3 linked regions of the Callithrix jacchus genome follow. The protein of the gene in region 3 purifies or fractionates together with the protein of the main gene of each other region. This does not show direct contact. Links are inferred from orthologs where the notes say so. Each region holds a gene or a part of one and is shown on either strand. Other genes may lie near its edges.

The links. The genes of interacting proteins can lie anywhere in the genome.
Region 1: the proteins of POLR3C (region 3) and protein POLR1D purify together in Homo sapiens (affinity purification with mass spectrometry; 3 studies listed by BioGRID and IntAct, with this or other methods). This does not show direct contact. The link is inferred for Callithrix jacchus from reciprocal best matches to the Homo sapiens genes POLR3C and POLR1D.
Region 2: the proteins of POLR3C (region 3) and POLR3B fractionate together in Homo sapiens (co-fractionation; 4 studies listed by BioGRID and IntAct, with this or other methods). This does not show direct contact. The link is inferred for Callithrix jacchus from reciprocal best matches to the Homo sapiens genes POLR3C and POLR3B.

Annotation. Positions count from the first base shown.
Region 1 is NC_133506.1:146,817,298-146,821,405, forward strand, and holds the start of protein POLR1D, read left to right. Parts: upstream 1-1,308; 5' UTR 1,309-1,400; coding exon 1,401-1,426; intron 1,427-2,296; coding exon of another isoform or gene 2,297-2,672; exon of another isoform or gene 2,673-2,871; intron 2,872-4,108. Other genes in the region: uncharacterized protein LOC144582762, read right to left, coding at 1-736; POLR1D (DNA-directed RNA polymerases I and III subunit RPAC2), read left to right, coding at 1,401-1,426, 2,297-2,672.
Region 2 is NC_133510.1:109,225,036-109,228,975, forward strand, and holds the start of POLR3B (DNA-directed RNA polymerase III subunit RPC2), read left to right. Parts: upstream 1-1,140; 5' UTR 1,141-1,215; coding exon 1,216-1,287; intron 1,288-1,453; exon of another isoform or gene 1,454-1,543; intron 1,544-3,940. UniProt on the Homo sapiens protein: Catalytic core component of RNA polymerase III (Pol III), a DNA-dependent RNA polymerase which synthesizes small non-coding RNAs using the four ribonucleoside triphosphates as substrates.
Region 3 is NC_133519.1:8,259,192-8,263,224, reverse strand, and holds the start of POLR3C (DNA-directed RNA polymerase III subunit RPC3), read right to left. Parts: upstream 2,801-4,033; 5' UTR 2,330-2,800; coding exon 2,311-2,329; intron 1,078-2,310; coding exon 911-1,077; intron 58-910; coding exon 1-57. Other genes in the region: E3 ubiquitin-protein ligase RNF115, read left to right, coding at 3,000-3,101. UniProt on the Homo sapiens protein: DNA-dependent RNA polymerase catalyzes the transcription of DNA into RNA using the four ribonucleoside triphosphates as substrates.

The DNA.
Region 1 (4,108 bases), on a different chromosome or scaffold from region 3:
CCGGGGGCCAGCGCCAAGGCCAAGCGGCCCAACCCGCACCCGGGCCAATCGGAAGCAGCACAGGGCGGGAGGGGGTGGGCCAGAGGGCGGCCCCGCCTATCCGAGAGCTCGGGAGGCGGGCCAGAAGAGGGACCGTCACTCCCGGGTTAGAGTGAGACCACTCCGCCCTCGCTGCCTGCCTCCCCCACCCGCCTCTGGCTGTCCCCGCCGGCCGCCTGATTCTCCTGCGGAAGCCCCGCTGGCGAGGTGCCTGCGCGCACCCTCGGCAGCCGCCAGGAATGGCACAGCTGGGGAGGGAGTGGACATCCAGGGGAATCGCGGGGAGGGGTGGGGGAGGAGAACAGGAGGCGCAGGGAAGCAGAAACATAGGTGCGCAAGACCACAGGGCAGCTGGAGTAGGGCAGGGTCGGGGCCGGCGGCCAGGGGAGAAGAAGGGGCGATTCGCGAGTAAGCCCACCTGAGGGAGTGCGGCGAGGGCCGGGACGCAGGGAGCAGGGCGGAGAGCGAGCCCAGGCGGTGAAAGGTTGCCGAGGCGGGGGCTGGGCACCTGGGAACAAAGGTGAGGGCGGGTTCCGCAGGTGAGGAGGTTTGAGGAGCCACGGGGGGTAAAGGGAAAAGGACGTCCACTGCGGGAGAGGACGCGCCCCGGGGGTATAAGGAATTCTAGGACCGAAGAAAGGATGAGGTGGGAAACAGTTTTCTTCCAAACTCTCGCTCCCTCAAAAGAGAAAGACATTTCTTTCCTGCCCTTTTTTGACCCAGTTGAGAATGCAGCTGCAAGCTCCAGGGTCAAACACCGCCTTCAACCCTAGTGTTCTGTTGTGACTCATCTCGCACATGACCCCCTTTCCAAGGTGTGTTGACCGACTAGAGCCTAAGCCTGTTGTCCCACGAAAGGCCCGGGAGGGCCGAGGTCCTGGGAAGGGCCACCCTGGGTCGACACGGCCCCAGTGGGGGAGTCGGGCCTATTTCGGACTTGCCACTGTGAAGTTAAGTGATTTGGGGGCGTCAGGTAAGGCCCCGCTACTTCGCCATCACCTGGTGAAAGGTACCAGGGCTGACCCGGGGCTCCCGCAGGCAGGTCTGGGCCTCGGGGTAAAGCGGCGCTGGCCCCACCCTCTGCCCCTCCTGCGGCGGGTGGCCTCGCTGGGGCGCCCAGGTGAGCCAAGGGGCGGTGAGCCACGGCCGACCCCGAGTCGGGGCGGGGATTGGGGGCGGAGCCTCATGCCCCGCCCCGCCGTTGGGCCCTGCCGCGCCGCTGCGGCTCCTCCTCTCTCCTTCCGTCCTCCGCGCTTTCCGTCGGTCGGTCCTTCCTTCCTGCTTCGTCTCCACGCCTCGAGCTATGGGGCAGAGCCCCCGATACGTTAGCACCACCTGAGGACCCGGAAACCGCCTCCACGATGGAAGAGGACCAGGAACTGGAGAGGTAATGGCCAAGGAGTAGGCGGGCGAAGCGGGCCGCGCCCAAGGGGATCGGGTGGCCGAGGGGCACGCGGCCCGGCCTGGCAGCCCCGGCCTGACTCCGGGCGCAGGGAAGAGGCGTGGAGAGAGAAGGGGGAAGAGACATGAATGTGTTTTAAATGAGAGGCTGAAAGGTACGCTAGCTATCAAGGAGGGAAGACAAGTTGGGAGACCAGAGTTAAGTCCCCGAACTGCCCACCCCCATTAGAACAGCAGCGTGTAAAATCACGCCCCGGGCCCCTGCCTCCTTGAGGACGGTACTGATGCCTGTGTCCCTGTAACTACTGCTCACTTTCCTTCTCTGTGCAGACTGCTCCTAAAGCCACTCCTCTGTGTACTGAGCTCTTATCCTCCCTCCTGCTTGACTCCTGGACCTTCCATTCTCCTAGTTTCCTTCTCTTGCAAAATGGAAGCTGCATTCCATTTTGGGCCTGCACATTGATCATCTGTATCCTCTATTTTTATACTGGAGCAATCGGGATTTCTATGCCTTTCAACCCCATTTTCATCCTCTAGCAGGACCCATCCTATTCCAATCTTATCCCTTGCTCGTGACTCTACCAAAGAATATTTTTGCAAACACTTAAGTTTGTGTTTTTCTAAGAAAGCTCCCCTTGTGGCCAGTGTGGATGGTCAAATGGAGCATGGAAAAACCGGAGGCAATAAATTAAATATTTATTGATAGAGTTTGTGGAGGCAGGAAAATGAGAGGCAAATAGTTCTGTGTAGCTGGAGTAGATTGATAACGTGTTGCAATGTGATATAGTAAATGAAAAAAGCTAGTTACAAAACCATATTCAGTATGATCTCATTTTTATAAAAAATATGTGTGTAGAAAAATATCTGGATTGAAGACCTCAATGGCTGAAGGCGAGAGGAAGACAGCCCTGGAAATGGTCCAGGCAGCTGGAACAGATAGACACTGTGTGACATTTGTATTGCACGAGGAGGACCATACCCTAGGAAATTCTCTGCGTTACATGATCATGAAGAACCCGGAAGTGGAATTTTGTGGTTACACTACGACCCATCCTTCAGAGAGCAAAATTAATTTACGCATTCAGACTCGAGGTGCCCTTCCAGCTGTTGAGCCATTTCAGAGAGGCCTGAATGAGCTCATGAATGTCTGCCAACATGTGCTTGACAAGTTTGAGGCCAGCATAAAGAACTATAAGGAACAAAAAGCAAGCAGAAATGAATCCACATTCTAGTCCCTTATGCAGTATACAAGGAGAACTGTCCTCTAGGATATTCTCTTCCTGATGGTGCAGAACTCAGAATTAGAAGCTTGTGATCAAAGCATACTCTGTCCTTCAGAAAGGCATGATTCTAGCTGTTGACCCCTTGTAGCTGTTGGAATCTCTGCAAGAACCTCTGTATTCTTCTAATAAATTCCCTCTTTTATTTAAACTAGTTTGACTGGTTTGTGTTCCATGCAAACAAATGGTCCTCGAGGATACCTTTTTTTTCTTTCAATTAAGCCAGCATGGAAAATGAGGAAACTGAAAATATTAGACGCCTAGACAAGAACTGTGATTATGGGAATTAAAAGGAGTATATATCCATGTCTGTAATTGGGGTGGTGGGGGTAAGGGCAGAGACAAAAAGCATGACTCCAGTTAGACTTTGGTTGGTTTAAGAAAAGAAGAGGATAGGGTGGGGACTTGGCTTGTTGCTAAACATTTTTGCTTTTAAAGAATTATGTCATTTGCTGTGTCTGGTAGACTGGGCAAGGGTGGGAAATAATTTGAAAGAATGGTAAGAATTCTGGGTTTACATGAGAGTTTTAGGTGGTATCAGGTTCCATCTTTGAGGCATTTACAGGAAGGATACCAGTTTACTGCTTGAATTTCGGGATATAGATGTTTAGTCATGATCTTAGTAAGGTAAGACCTTTTGATTATGTTACAGGAGGAAACTGGGATGACTAGATAACGTTTTCAGTCCTTAGGTAGGTGTAGCCTAGGGTAACATAGAAGCCCTATTTGAAAAAAGGTAAAGCCAAGGAGAAGGAAAACTCCATGTGGGGGAAATGACCGTTCTAGAAAACACATACACCATCCGCCAGTGCTCTGTGCTTTGAGGCCTTGTTTATGCTACCCCTGCTTCCTGGGGCAATCTTACTCCTGCCATACTCTTAAATCAAAACTTATGTGTTGGGCCCCCCAGCCTAGTGTGGGTACTTTGTGCTTTCATTACACCCTGTGTTTCCTGGCCTTGGCATTTACTGTGCTGTTGGTAGTGCTTGTCTACCCAGTATACCAACTTGCAGGTCAGCATGATTCTGTTACCTGGAACACCTGACAGGTAGTGGACACTTAGTAAATACTCTGTGAATTCATGAAATTAGTTATGGCTTGCAGCTTTTCAGTCACTCAAACCTGACCTCTAATACTAGCCTGCCACAGAGCCTACATTTCTTACACGCAGTCAACTTCTTTAAAGATATTTCCATATTTTTGAGCACTAGTATGTACGAGGCCTTGGGGATAGATATATAGCTATTGTGGATGAGACAGAGTTAGTCCTGTTTTCGTAAAGCGTGTGTTATAATTAGAGCCCCTTTTAAAAAAAATTGTGAAGCTCAGCATGGTGGCTCACGCCTGGGAAGCCAAGGTGGGTGGATCACTTGAGCCCGGGAGTTCGA
Region 2 (3,940 bases), on a different chromosome or scaffold from region 3:
CAGATATCAGCGCAATGTTTAGAAAATACAAGCACTGAAATTTAGGTAGCTTATTAGGAAATAAGAACAATTAACCTGGTGCAAGAGTTCTACCTTTATGGGGGAGAAATTGGAAAGCCTATATGTACTTGCACATTTTCATAACTTTTCTTATAACTGTAAAATATACATAAAACTTAGCATTTAACCATTTAAAATGATGTACAGATCAGCAGCATTAAATACATTCACATCGTTGTGCAACCATCACCACTATCCATCTATAGAACTTTTGCATCTTCCCAAACCGAAACTCTGTACCCATTAATTATGGTGCATTTTGTCTCGTTTTTTTCTAACAGGATTTTTCTTTCTATTGATTTGTATGAGCTCATTTTAAATTAGAGAGGCCAGCCCTTTGTCATCTGCCAATTTGTTTTTTGTTAATTCTATTCGTTTTTAAAAATATGTTCATAGAATCACTAAATCAGGTTTAGAATATAAAATCCTCTATGAATTGACTGTGTTGCCGTCTTGAAAGCCTTCATCATCTCAATGTTATGAATATATTCACTTACATTTTCGTCTAAGTTTTTGTTAACATTTCAATATTTAAACCACATAGGATTCACTCAGATGTATTTTATCCCCAAATGGGTAATCAGCTCTTCAAACATCATTTACTAGACAGGCCATCCTTCCCCTACCGTCGTAAATGTCATCTTTTCATACTAAATTTCTCCATGCGTTGGTATATACTCGTACATCTTCCATTTAGTGCTTCTGAGAATTTTCAACACTATTCCATTACACTCATGTACCATTTATTTAACCAATCACCTTTTATTAGGCACCTTTTATTAGTTCAAGTTGCGTAAATTATGCGTTTACACATTTCTTCGGATTACTTTTTAAATGACAACCACTGTGTTTTGCTGGTCTCAAGCATCAGAGAATTGGCAAGAAATCTGACAGCTGCGGTTTAGAATAACCCGCGCCAGATCTCCGAGCTACACCAGAGGGCGCAGTTTCCCGACTCGGCTTCGGTCACATCCGGGTTCCACCGCAGATTCGAGCTGGGAGCAGGCGGAACCTTTCTGCTGCGTCTCTAGCCAACAAGCACGGCGGGGACAGTTTAGGCCTCCGCGCACCGTTCCCCGGGAGTCTTGCAGTTTGCTTGGGGCAGGGAAGGCGTGCGCGGAGGTTTTATCTGTTTCTGTCTCCTTCGTGAGCAGTATGGACGTGCTGGCGGAGGAGTTTGGGAACCTGACGCCCGAGCAGCTGGCTGCGCCGATCCCTACTGTAGAGGTGAGTGCCAGGCACGCAGGCAGCGTCAGCGGCCGAGAGGCGCCTTGAGGGGGCGTTGCCCAGAGTGTTCGGGCCGGCAAGGGGGCGGGCTTGCGGTTTCTGCGCATGAGCTGGGGTTCTGCGCATGAGCTGGGGTTCTGCGCATGCTCACAGCGTCCCGCGTGCTAGTCTTCACAGCCGGACTCCGCGTGCGCGAGTGAAGGCAAAGCCAGGAAGAGCTGTCAGCCGCTGCTGGGGTGGAGCTCTTCCAATATAGGTGTGCGTGGAGAGCACTGGCCCTCGCACTTACTTTGGGGGACGTATTGCATCTTTTCAGTCTTATAAAGGACACTGAGGGCCGGGGAGCTCAGGCCATTTGCATGAGGGACCACAGCTGGCTGTGGTGGTAAAACCAGATCTTCTGAATTCCAGGCTAGTCATCTTTCTTTTTAACTTGGAGTTCAAGTTGGGGTTGCAGGGGAATTTTAGTTCTGAGTATTTACTAAAGAATTATGCCTGTGTGTTTTCTGGGGGAAAGGCTCCATACGTTTCCTCAGATTCTCAGAGGTTAAGGACAGCTGTCCCACAGCGAGCTGCCTAATGAAGTGTGGCTGTCGACATATCTTGTTTTCTGATAAGGCACATGTTATAGTCTCTCTGAGCCTCAAATTCTGCATTGACGTGGAATAGGGAAGTAGAGACATGTGACCAGAGAAGATAGCAAGGGAGAGATTTCAGGGAGAGAGAACAGGATACTTGAAACCTCTTAGGCAAGACCATTGGATGTTTTTGAGGAAGGAAAGTAAATCCAGTAGTATTCGAGTGAAGAAAAATAGAGGAGAAGAGATAAAAGATGGGGGTTAAGTAAGGGTCTTGATTATGAAAAGTTTGGATAAACATCTGACAGGGCTTGGACTTTGTCTTGGAGCAAAACTTTTGAAGGGTTTAAGCAGAATAGTGACATGATCAGTAAATCTGTCAGATTAATAAGAACCTCCTTGGCTAGGTGTGGTGGCTCATGCCTGTAATACCAGCAGTTTGGGAGGCCGAGGCGGGTGGAACACTTGGGCTCAAGAGTTGGAGACCAGCGTGGGCCACATGGCAAAACCCTATCTCTACAAAAAATACAAAAATTAGCCAGATGTGATGGCATGCACTTGTCCCAGCAACTCAGGAGGCTGAGGTGGGAGAATCACTTGAGCCTTAGAGGTCACGGCTGCAGTGAGCCATTACTATGCTACTGCACTCCAGCCTGCGTGACAGAGTGAGACCTTGTCTCAAGGAAAACGAAACAAAACCTCTTTATACTTTGACAAGTTAAGGAAGTTGAATTAGCAGTTCATCAGATTCAGTCTATGTGTGCATGCAATAGGCTGCTGGATCATCATCAGGCAAAATTGTACTGGCCGAGTGCGGTGGCTCACACTTGTAATCCTAGCATTTTGGAAGAACAAGGCGGGCGGCTCTCTTGAGGTCAGGAGTTCGAGACCAGCCTGACCAACATGGTGAAACCCCATCTCTACTAAAAAAATACAAAATTAGCCAGGCTTGGTGGTGCATGCCTGTAATCCAAGCTACTTGGGAGGCTAAGGCAGGAGAATTGTCTGAACCTGGATGGTGGAGGTTGCAGTGAGCTGAGATCGCGCTGTTGCACACCAGCCTGGGCAACAAGAGTGAAATCCCGTCTCGGGGTAGGGGAGAAAAAGCCAGCCTTCACTGCATTAAAAGCCTGGTACGTGGTTAATCTGGAACATGGACTCTTGTCAGTTTGACTACAGAGTCTTCATCCTTAACTGCTAATCAGACTGCCTCTCCAGAGCGCTGAAGAAATAAGCCTGGGAGATTTCTATTTCTTGTCTGAATTTACACAACTATGAAGTGATCAGTGCCATAATTGCAGCCTTCTGATTCAAGAATAAAGATTCTCTTCTGGCACTCTCCACCATCACCTCTAAAAGGTCTTGAGTTCTTAATCTATGCATGTCTGAAATCTCATTTCCCACTGTTTTCCAACCCAGAACCACTCTTCTCTCTTACCTCCAAACTGGCCTACTTGGCACCTGACTTGTCCCAATCCAGTCTGTTCTTTGCTCTGCAGCAGAGCTGTCCATTTAAACACACAAACATGATTATATTGCTCCCTTGGTTAAAATTCTTCAATCTCTGCCTGCTGCTCTTAGGGCAAAATACTAGTGTTTACCGCGTTTGTAATACATTTCTGCAGTCTGGCCACTTCTTACTTCTGTAGCCTCCTTTCCCGTGATTCTCTCCGTCTCTCCCATGAGATCTTTCTACTCTGCTCACACAGTTCCTTCTGGATCTCTCACCCATTCCTATTTGTAGATTAAGTCCCACATTTCTATGATATAACTTCCCTAGGAAGGCCTTTTGTGATTCTACCAGAAGATGGTAGATCTCTGTACTTGCTGCCATTTCCTTTTAAACTGAGATATTAAAATATTTATTGAAACTTTCCGACGTCAGTGTTTTCTCTGAAACTTTTTCTAGATAGGAGCTCAGTTTTGCTTGAACTGGCCATGCCTGGTGTGTTTTTTTGTGCTGAGGGTAGCACAGCATCACGGTAGTATGATAGAAGAAACAACACAAGCTTTGCAACCAATTGATCACTTATTTGTTGAATAAATATTTGTCATTATTACTGAGTACTTACCTG
Region 3 (4,033 bases):
GTGCACTTGATAACTCACCAGGTTATGTTGGACAAGAACACACAGGGCTTTTTTCACCTGGATGGGACATAAAGAGAAGAAAGAGAGGAAAGACCTGAAGATATAGCTCATTACTGCTGGCAGTTTTTTGTCCAACAGCTTACCAAGCATCAGAAAATGGCTAGGTAAGAATCTTTGCACTTATTTCCTCTCTCCATTGGAGTAGCTAATAAGAATCATATATCAATACAAGAAATCAGGAAGATTCCTTGCTATCGTTTCTCTGATCCTTATCCTTCAAAACAAAACACAATTTACTTTCCTTCTATCATTCTCATTCCTTTTTTTTTTTGAGACAGAGTCTCACCCTGTCACCAGGCACCAGGCTGGAGTGCAGTGGCACAATCTCGGCTCACTGCAACCTCCGCCTCCTGGGTTCAGGCAATTCTCCTGCCTCAGCCTCCTGAGTAGCTGGGACTATAGGCACGCGCCACCACATCCAGCTGATTTTTGTATTTTTAGTAGAGATGAGGTTTCGCCATGTTGGCCGGGAATGGTCTTGATCTCTTGACCTCATGATCCGCCCTCCTCGGCCTCCCAAAGTGCTGGGATTAGAGGCTTGAGCCACCGCGCCCGGCCCATTCTCATTCCTTAAAAGCAGTACTGAGGTTAGCAGACTTACTGTGAATAAATGAGGTCTGGCATGGGAAGAGCAAAGATTTGCCTAAGAAGCTGTGATGAACTAGAAACACTCTGAGAAAGAAAATGTTGATGCCTAAGTCCCATCCTTTTCTCCCCCAAATAACATTGTTTGCTCCCAGGGCAGGCTTTTTCATTTTTTCCTTTTCTGGGGTGAGAAGAACAATATTCAAAGGTGAGTGAAATAAATTAGTGAAAGAAATGAGAGAAAATTAATGTCATTTAGACGTACCTGATCCAGCGATGTCCCTGTGTCATGGGCAATTACTCTTAGTGGCTGGCTGCCAGTTCTTATCAGGTGGACTCCAATCTTTTCTACAATCTCTCCAAAATGCTCTTGCAGCAACAAAGAACAGAGCTTAATTTCTGCTTGAGTCATTGTACTGGGGAGTCTGAGGGCTAGGGGAAAAAACACCGGAACAGTACGATGGAAAGTCTTTCTTTCATGCTGGAAGCAGAGCTGCTCACTGTAAATTCATGCGTTCTCTCTGGAGGGCAGTTTGACAACACATATCAAAAAGCCTTAAAAATCTTGCATATCTTTAAAACAGCAATTTCTTTTTGGATACTATGTCCAAGGAAAGAATAAAAAGTTAATCAAGTCGCCAGGCGCAGTGGCTCATGCCTGTAATCCCAGCACTCTGGGAGGCCAAGGCAGGCGGATCACTTGAGGTAAGGAGTTCGAGACCAGCCTGGCCAACATGGTGAAACCCTGTCTCTACTAAAAATACAAAAAATAAAAAATAAAAATAAATAAATAAAATAAAATTAGCTGGGTGTGGTGGCATGTGCCTTTAGTCCCCACTACTCAGGAGGATGAGGCACGAAACAAACCATAATAATAATAAAGTCGGCCGGGCGTGGTGGCTCACACCTGCAATCCAAGCACTTTGGAGGCCAAGGCGGGCAGATCACCTGAGGTCGGGAGTTCAAGACCAGCCTGACCAACATGGTGAAACCCCGTCTTAAAAAAATAAATAAATAAAATAATAATAAAGTCACTAGTTCTCTGTATGATACCGACTTACTGGAAACAATCTAATGTCTAATAGTAAATGATGGCATACTACACCGACATTTAAAGTTATTAAGTACCACATGTATTCGTGCAGAAAATTATTCATAATATATTAAGTGACAGAAGCTGCAAAAAATTAACATTCGATTATTGTAAAAAAAAGGAAAAATGTATGCATAGAGAAAGACTATGCATCAAATTTATCTTTCTGGGACTATGCGTGATTCTGATTTTCTTTAAAGATAGGGAGTAGATTATTTCGCAGTCTGTCACACTTCATTGCTTAGGAGAATTAAGGTCACTGTTCACAGCCCGGTAGGAGTGAGCAGGTAGTGTTCATTCTCAGTGAACATTCTCAGCCCATAAAGGAAATGATAATTTCGAAAAAGAAATTTAGGAGGTAAAGGACTGCTTCTCAACAGGGCGTGTCAAATAGGAGATGAGGTTACATTGTTTTCAGGGCAGTATTCATTCCTGAAACTTGTACTCCTTGACAAAGTTGACACAATCAGAAATTGATGTAGTTGATTATATGATTATTTCGTTATTACAAATTGCTACCAATTCTTAAGAAGCCAAGTCTTTGGCACCCCCGCCTAAGTATCACCAGAGACCTGTTTGATCCATGCACATATCTTTGGAGAAGCATCCCCAGACCCCTTGCCATCCTCGGAAAGGACTTCCAAGGCGCTTGGCTCCTAGCTCTTCACTCCCTTTACATAGGTTCGCCTTCCAGACTCGGTCTCTCGGTCAGAGTCAGCGCCGCCTCGCGCCGACAGCATTTTCCACTAACCTCAGGGTCAGCGCAATCCAGAGGCTCCAAACCCAACGCCTCCGAGCTCCTCGCGGCGGCTTCCTGCGGCTCCCGCTGGCCTTCCGAGCGGAGGTGGAGCCCACCGCCCTTTCTAGGAAGAGGCCGGCCACGGAACACAACGCAGAAAGGCGAAAAGCTCGTGCCGCTCTACCCCCCCCGCCCCGAGTTTCGGCGGCTTCCGGGGACGCTCTTCCTTTCTTCTCGCTGGAAGGCTGGAGGACCCGCGAGGGGCTGCTTGAGGAGCAGGCAGGCGGGCGGGTTGCCGCTCCTTCCGGCTCCTCTTTGGTTCTGGGAGGCGGGCCGCAGGGTCGCCGTCAGCGCCGCCGCCTCTCTGGGTCGGGCCGGCTCACGTGACCGACGCGGGCTCTGAAGCGGTGGGCCGTACCGAGGCGGCGGCGGCGACGGCGACGGCGACTGCAGCTCGAGAGGTAGCGGCCTGGAGAGGGACGGGCCGGCTGCCCTCTCGGACGGCCGCGGCGGAGGACAAAAATGGCGGAGGCCTCGGCGGCCGGGGCGGACTCGGGCGCCGCCGTGGCTGCCCACCGGTTTTTCTGCCACTTTTGCAAGGGCGAGGTCAGCCCCAAACTACCGGTAAGAGCCCCATGCCCTCTGTACTCGGGAACCGCATAGATTCCTGGCCCCGATGTCCCCGAACTAGGTCTGGGGCTTTCCGCACACGCTCGACTCGCCTGGCATCGGTCTGCCGAGTACCTGCTGCCCTGTGTCCGCAGCCGCTGGCCCTAAGCCCCGGGCGTCACGGTCCCGGCGCTGTACCTCCTGCTCACCTCTTCCTCATCCTGGGCTGTTCCACCTGCCCTCACGTCTTTACCACCCCCCCCCATCTTTCTTTTTCTTTAGCAAGTTTTTCTTTGACAACTCTCCCATCAATTTTCTCGCACTCTTTTATACCTCGTCTTTTTCCCACGGTGACCTTCCCCCGTACTCTTTCCTCTGTGTCTTCTCACCTTCCTCTATTTTCACACTTTTAACCGCCCCCCCCCCGACCCCTCTTCTCAGCGAAGCAAAATAGCGGATTGCTGAGGATTGTCCCTATTCGGTTGTCTCTAGGGAAGGAAGCACAGAATGGGGCGGGAAGGGGCATTTTGCTTTTCAGTGGTTTCCAGGGTCGTTGTGAAGGTGAAAACAGCACCCTATTAATGCCTTGCAGACGGCCTGCACTCCTATCACTGATGAAGGAAATGGCTTTAGGAAGAAGGCAGGACGTATTGTTTCAACTTGGTTTATTTTGATTGTCATGCTGCCAGTGTCTTTAATACCATTGTTCTGCTCCCCCCACCTGCCCCGCGTGCCTTGTGTCTTTCTTCACATAAGAAAAAGGTCCCCGACAGAATGTTTTCACGACTTTTTGCCAGACTGTTAGCCCCTTGAGAGGCAGTGCTGTAGCCGTGAAGAAAATACTTTGGTAGGTCAGGCTCAGGTCTGTAATCTCAGTGCTTCGGGAGGTCGAGGCAGGAGGATTGCTTGAGGCCAGGAGTTTCAGACCAGCCTGGGCAACACAATGA